2 linked regions of the Danio rerio genome follow. The protein of the gene in region 2 purifies or fractionates together with the protein of the main gene of each other region. This does not show direct contact. Links are inferred from orthologs where the notes say so. Each region holds a gene or a part of one and is shown on either strand. Other genes may lie near its edges.

Region 1 (3,771 bases), on a different chromosome or scaffold from region 2:
CGTCATCATGCTCACACAATTTTTTTTCTTTTTTCTGTACATCTTTATAACATCATCATAGAGTTTTTCTTTTATTATCTGAGTAAATAAGATTTTTTAAAATATTTGTTGTATTCTCCCGTTCACTAAGTTTCCCAACTATGACGACTTCTGCTACTGAGAAACCCGGAAATGTGAAAAGAGTCTATTGCAGAGTGACACAAACAGCTTGCAGAAATATAAATGCACGGCTACACGCAAGGCATGCGCCGTGGGTCACTCTGATCACTAGACGCAGAAGTATAAACCAGCTTTAGTCTCTATTTCAGAGGTTGCACTGCAGAATGAACCACCAACTATTCCAGCATATGCCAGTATTGGGAAACACCCATTCACACTCATACACTCAGCGGTCTTGCTGTGAGGAGACAGTACTAACCACTGAGCCACCGTGCCGCTCCTTATTCTTCACCATATAAAATGTAATCATTAGAATCAGGCTTTGTTTATAAATGAGTAAGAGAGACAAAAAGGCAAAGCAGTATTATGCGAATACTTTATTATCAATGTGTGAATGGTGTTAGCTTTTCATCTGGATATTAATAGTATATGAAAACTATACACCAAAACCAGGCTCTTCCTATTTTTGCTGTATAATTTTTCAAATTGGTATTGAAAGATTCTTTATCTTTATAGATATTTATATATATAATATATAAGCCAAAGTGCATTTCCCGTTTTTTTTCCTCTTGTCCATGTACACATTGCACCATACATAAATAATTACATCGTAAAAATGACTCCAGTATTTACAAGTATAATATATATTTCTTATAATATATAAAACTTTATATTAAATCTAAGTAGATGATATTTGGGATTGTTTGTGGAGTCTCTCGGCATGAGCGAGTCCATGTGTTTATCCATGTGTTATCTGTGGTTGTTGAGGAGGATCTCCAGCCAACAGGGGCACGAAGTGATGAACTGGCGGGAGTAACAAGGGCCCCAGCCCTTCGCGAAACTGATGCGCACACTGTTCGGGTCATAGGGTCCGTCTAGCAGCTCCGACTCGGCTCCTTGCCTGAGCATGGACGAGCGTTCATAGTCAAACACTTTAATGGAGTATCCAGGCATCACCTTGCGCACCACCAGGCTTCGACTCCCTGGGACATCCAGAGTCGGAGAGTTGACGAAGATGGGGTGCTGGCTGCGGTTGTAAGCCCAGACTCCATCCGGCTCTTTGCTCAGGAGCAAGCCGTAGCCGATCTTGCCACGCGTCCGCTGCACGGTGCTGCTGCGCTGGTCCAGGCTCAGCTGGCCAAGGCAGAAGCCCGTACCTTGAGGTAGGTCATAGAAAATGCTGACGGCAGGCTGGTACACCGTATAGAGGCGGCCCACCCGTGTCCGATGCTCCCAGTACGCCACGTTACACCAGTGACTCTGCTTGGGGGCGTCAGGTGACAGACTGGCATCTGAAACAGGAAGAGAGAGAACACAGCTGTCACTCATTTGTCCCATAACACTGAAATAGACAGAGAGATGGTTTGTTATGTGGAGTTGAAGGCTGCACTGTTATGTGTGGCCTCAAGAGGGCACTACTTCAAAACTTAGTTCATTCAAATATTTACTAACACACTGAAAAGCTGAGAAATGGATAGAATGAGCGGAAGAAATATTATGACGTTAAAAAACCTGTTTAAGTCAAGTATATATGCCCTAAAAATTAAGCAAAACAACCAAAATCTAAATCAAAATGATCATTATTACTTTAATGGCTCAATCATGTGCTTCCAAAGACCCTGATTGTGTCTTAGCCGCACACACTTAATGAGACAGCTCACCCCAAAACAAAAATTTAGCCACTACTTACTCACCATCAAGTGGTTCCAAACCCGTTTCTTTTTTTTTGCTGAACATAAAAAGAAGATATTTTGCAGAAAGTTGAAAACAAACACTATGGAAATCAATGCTTACAGGTTTTCAACATTCTTCAAAGTATCTTAATTTGTGTTCCACCGAAGAAAGAACTCAAATAGGTTTTGAACACATGAAAGAAGAGTAAATAACTACAGAATGCATTTTCCTTGGTGAATTATCCCCTAAAATGATTCCACTTAGCAGTGCCACGTATTGCGTTCAAGTCTTGATCTGGAAAGAGAGTATGTGTGGAAGGGGGGGATATGTAAAAGCCATGAGCTCATATCCGGCGACAGCTCCCTCCCCCGTCTCCATTCTCCTCCACATTCCTGTGGGTGGGTGATGGTGGCGATGGTTTGGGTGGAGAGGGAGCGTCTCCTCCCGCTGTGGGCCTGGGGACAGCTTTCAGCTCCCTGACAACTTAGTGCAAGCCTTTGACCTCCTGACCCCCCAGGCTTCACGCTATCAGCTCAGATTAACGTGCATGCTGACTGATGCCATTAATTTGCTCCTGAGAGGCTATTGGCAGGGAGATTGCAAGAGCCAGGGTCTGTGGCTCCTTCACATTTTCTTGTGACTCTCAGGGTCATTCAGGAAATAGCTAACCACAAAATTAGCCTTCTGTCATCGTTTACTCAACGTCATGTCAATCCAAACCTGCATGCTATTAGATTTATGGTAGAACACAAAAGAGAAGATTTTAAGAAACTTTTTCTCTATATAACAACAGTTTACAAGCAAGGCTGTGAAGCTCCAAAAACAGCATTAACCACTAAACTGCACCATAAAATGACCAAGGTAATGCTTTATATTAGTTAGCTCTTTTGCAGAGCAGTATTTTGAGACCATAAATAGTATGACAGTATCAATGAATAAGAGTCACTGAAATCTTGAGTTTAAAGTGTTAGTTCCCTCAACAATTTATTCATTGATCTTTATAACCCAAATTAACATATTTTTGGTGAAATATGAGAGTCTCTAATGGTATCTGACATATTTACTATATATTCATAGTCTAATTTACAGTGTTCTTGGAGCTTTATATGATCATGGACTGTTTCGATAATATTTTTGGTTCCTTTTCTGGCCTTTGAATGTCTCTAGAAGGTTGCTGTCTATGAAGATTAAGAGAGCTGTCTGATTTTATCTAAATTATCTTCATTTGCGTTTTGAAGACGAACAAAGGCTTTTAAACGAATTAAGGTTGAGTAATTAATTACATCATTTGAATATTTGCCTGAACTAATCCTTTAAAACTTCACCTGTGAACATGACACTCTGAACATCCTGATAGCTGTCTAATTAATAATCTACCTGGGGTTCGTTTCCGAAAACCATCGTAAGCCAACAAATGTCTCAAGTAACATCATTACAAACATAGTTCATAAATTTGGCGTTTCCCAAATCCATCGTTCAAACGAACATTCGCACACTTCTAGTGCTGTAGTTAGAAGCATAGTTCCTGGTTCTTTTTTATTCCCAGTTATCCCCTTTACGCCTATCCATTTAGAGCGTTTAAACTTGGAATGATTTAAATAATAATAATAATAATAATAAATCTCTCTTAGGTGTAATTTGCTGTCAATGTATTCTTACAGTTTAGTTTTAGCGATCCTCATATTGACAATTGCGCTCCCTTCGCAGTGCACTTTAAAACATTGACGCCATTTAAAATGCAGCCATGGCTCATGACAAGGCGATAAGTGGCCTATTATTTAAAAGCTGAATTTATGTTACGTCTTCAAAGTTTGTGAAAACAAAAATATATAGCGAACATTAATGCTTTTAATTTATAGGTTGTTAATTTAGAAATGTATCTGTACTAAAGGCTTAATAACATGGGCCTGTTGGTTAAAACATTTCTGCAGTGGTTTG
Region 2 (3,830 bases):
TGTGTGTTTTCACACCTGCTCTGTGTACGTGTGTTATTCAGGCCAGTCTTTGAAGACTCGGGACCCGGACGGCCTCTCAGCTGCTTCATGGAGGAGCCCATGCCATACACCGATCCCACAGGAGCCGCTGGAGGGGGCAACTGCCGTGCACTTGAGTCACCCAATCAGGAACAACGGCTCCAAGCACAACGCATCAGAAACCAGGATTCCCGAGGGCACACGCACACCCCCCAGAATCGACCGCACGGACACCAATCCCCCGACCTCCCTGAGGGCTATGGTAAGCCTAACCACATTATGTGGCAAGATGGTCAGGAGTGGAGCTTATCAAAGAGTTTTTTATTGTCATTGTTGCTGCATTTAAAGGGACAGTTCACCCAAAAATTAACATTTATTCACCGTTCACTCATACTTAAATAGTTCTAAGCTTTTATACATTATAAAAAACATTTATTATACTATATAAATAGATGTTGTTACATCAATTATGAGTGTATACATTATACAACCAAGACATTTTGAAAAAGGTTGGAAAGCTGCAGCCATTGACATCCATAGGATGTTTTGTTCATAGCATGGATTTCATTAGCCTGTTTCACACAAAAATACCAGTAAATATCAGGAAAATTTTGTTATATGCGGAAAATTTCTAAAACGACTTTACCGGTAAATTCAAAAAAGCGATGTTCACACATCCATTAAAAAATTTTGGTCAATTCTGTCATCCTTATCCAGAAATGAGCTCTAAACATCTGCGTTTATATTTGTAAACATAGAACATCTTTTATTGATGGTTACACCTTTTTTTATAGCGTTAGCATTTATGCTTTGTCCCAGACAAATTCATAGGCAGAAGTGCCAATCGCAGTTTGACAATATCACAAATTGTGTAGATGGATAAGTGTTCTGAACAATTTGTTTAAAAATGTATGGAGGAACATATCAAGATGTACATAATATGTGTGTGTGCTGGCGCTCACCAGAGTACACCTTTACGTGCACACGCATCAAGCAACTGAAGCAGAGCTCGAAGGTAAATAAACAGAGGTTTATCGTAAGCATTTTAGCGATAATTTCTTCCACATTTGGCTTTAAGAAGCAACAGAGAAACATTATCTGACTAACATCTAGCAGCTAAATGTATCTCGAAAAATATTCAAAAGGCTTGTACTTTCATAAACAACGCAGATGTGAATGTGTCTGAATTTCCTGATTGGCCAATAGACGTCTTCCCAGCAACATTCTGGCAAGTTACTGGTAATGTTAAAACTTCTCTTTCCGGAAAATTGACGGATCGAATTTACCAGTATTATCAAAAAGGGCCTGTCCACACATGATCCCACATAATGAGCTCTTCAACATTTTTTAAAATATCTTCTTCTTTCGTGTTCAAACTGGTTTGAAAGGATACATAAATGATTGCAGAATTTTCATTTTTGGGGAACTGTACTATTTAATGTTCGTGTAGAGCAGGGGTGTTCAAACTTGGTCCTGGAGGACCAGTGTCCTGCAGATTTTAGCTCCAACTTGCCTCAACACACCTGCAAGGATGTTTCTAGAAAGCCTAGTAAGAGCTTTATTAGCTATCCCAGGTGTGTCTGATTGAGGTTGGAACTAAACTTTGCTGGACACCGGCCCTCCAGGACCAAGTTTGGACATGCCTGGTGTAGAGTGAGAACGAGTTTGTCATTCTGCCATCACAACAGTAAACAAATCGTTAGAGAAGAGATGTCATTGCAAAAGAGAGAGGAAGCTGATTTGACTGAATATCTAATGACCACTGCAGTATTGCTTAAAAACAGAAAGATCCATTTTATTTCCAAGGCACGCTATTGGGATTCAGCAATACTTTTCTAACAACTTCACCTTTAATGCACTTCAAATAAGCTGGTGCGAGTAATTTTTCTGTCATTATGTATAATCAGCAGGTCACTTGTTATAAAGACAGGGCTAGCTTTGTTCAATGGAAGTATATATATAAATATTTAACTACAAACACAAGTGGTTTTGCACATCCCTGGAGTGTGCACCTGATCTCTTACCCACAGTACAGTCGGAGTCTGCTGAGACTAATACAGCTTAGCGCTTTGGGTAGAGGCTACTGAAGTGCAGTGAACTGGAGAGACTGAGCTCTGAAAGGAGTCCATTCAGCCGGGCACTGCTGCTTTAGCTGAGCCATGTGGCCGCTGCAGCCTGCATTATACAGGTGGATTGACTGCGCTAAAGCCCCTCATTGGAGTGTAACTGTGTCTGACCCGGCTGGTGTTGTGGTCGGGCCCTTTGGCGTGATCGCCGGACGGCGCCAGTGTAATTAAATCTCAGCCTAGACATGCCACACTGGCTCTGTGCAGTCTGAGAACTGGAAGCCGGGCGTTCTGTTGCAAAAGCCCTGGCGCTCTTTCAGGTTTCATGTAAAACTGCTGTCTTGCTCGTTCGCTCTTGACGTGTGCCTCTTCTCTTTTGTACCACAGAGCAAAGGACCACCGTGCAGGGCCAAGTCTATTTTCTGCACACACAGACTGGCGTGAGCACCTGGCACGATCCCAGAATACCCCGGTAGGTTTAATCACCACCCGCCTTCACTGAAATAACGATTGTGCCCTTTCTGATTGCTTCTTGCTGCTATTGTAATATCGCTCTAATCGTTTAATGTCCACAATCAGCTAACTTGATAATCAGCACAATCATCTCACTTAATAGCTGCTACTGTTGACATTGTGAAGCTTAATAATTTGCTCGTCATCAGGAGAACGAGGAAAGAGACTTGAGGAAAGCAAGGCGGGAAATCAATACAAGTCAAGCAGACAAATGCAGGTGTTTTTTGTGTGTGTCGAAGGTTATTTTAGTCACTGTAGCGCGTGACCTCTTAAATTGGCACCTTCTCTTTGGCCCAATCACATGCTTGTTTAATCAACACACATGCGAGCATGTTTTGAAAAAGTTCAGAAACCGCCGACTGTTTGTTTTGATCTTCCATTGTGCCAACATCTCTTTACTAAGACAAGTCAGTCCACATGTTGGCCATGTTTGTAATGCCTTCAGGCAACTATTTCATATTTTAATAAAGTACTGAGTAGATTTTTTTTGTTTTTAGGCATGGTTGTATAAAATTTAAAAGCTTTTTTTTTAGTTTTATGTAATATATAGATTTCAGTATATAATGATGGTATATAGATATATATACAGTGCTTCCCACAGGTTTGAAATATACTTGCAGTGGTAGTCGGATTGAAACACCTTTTACTCTCAGCACATAAATGGTCAACTACATGCAACAAACAAAAAAGTGATTTTTATCTGTATTTTTTTAATATGATACTGGTTATAAACCTTTTTATTTCAGTAGGTTAAAGTAAAATAAAAAAGATGGTTAAAATAAAATAAATAGACTATTTCTCTTACTTTTATGCTATTTTATGCTCTCACTCTTTAAAGTTGCTTTATTGGCATGATATTTTGTACAGTATTGACAAAGCAAATATACAACAAACGTGAAATAACAGAAAAAAAAGGGAAAAAAATAGACAATATTGCTTAAAAATTATAATAATTACAAAAATATAAAGTGTAAATTATATAAATACGGCAAGATTTGATTGAAAAGTTGATTAACCATTTCTAATGTTGTAAAAATATATTGCAGCCTGTATAGATGGAGTATAGATAGTCATTTTGTTTTTTCCGAGTATATGGTTTATCTGAGTCGTTTATTAAATAATTAGTCATTTAATGTTTCTCTCCCTGCAAAATGGTAATGCAAAAACAACAAATAACGGTAACGTTAGAAAGCAAAAGCTGAATCCTGGACATTTTAGGAGATTCAGAAACTA

What was found.
Region 1: the proteins of smurf1 (region 2) and smad6b purify together in Homo sapiens (affinity purification with western blotting; 4 studies listed by BioGRID). This does not show direct contact. The link is inferred for Danio rerio from reciprocal best matches to the Homo sapiens genes SMURF1 and SMAD6.

What each region holds. Positions count from the first base shown.
Region 1 is NC_133193.1:21,083,400-21,087,170, reverse strand, and holds the end of smad6b (mothers against decapentaplegic homolog 6b), read right to left. Parts: intron 1,452-3,771; coding exon 910-1,451; 3' UTR 522-909; downstream 1-521. UniProt on the Homo sapiens protein: Transforming growth factor-beta superfamily receptors signaling occurs through the Smad family of intracellular mediators. SMAD6 is an inhibitory Smad (i-Smad) that negatively regulates signaling downstream of type I transforming growth factor-beta.
Region 2 is NC_133178.1:39,663,839-39,667,668, reverse strand, and holds part of smurf1 (E3 ubiquitin-protein ligase SMURF1), read left to right. Parts: intron 1-41; coding exon 42-280; intron 281-2,471; coding exon 2,472-2,556; intron 2,557-3,830. UniProt on the Homo sapiens protein: E3 ubiquitin-protein ligase that acts as a negative regulator of BMP signaling pathway. Mediates ubiquitination and degradation of SMAD1 and SMAD5, 2 receptor-regulated SMADs specific for the BMP pathway.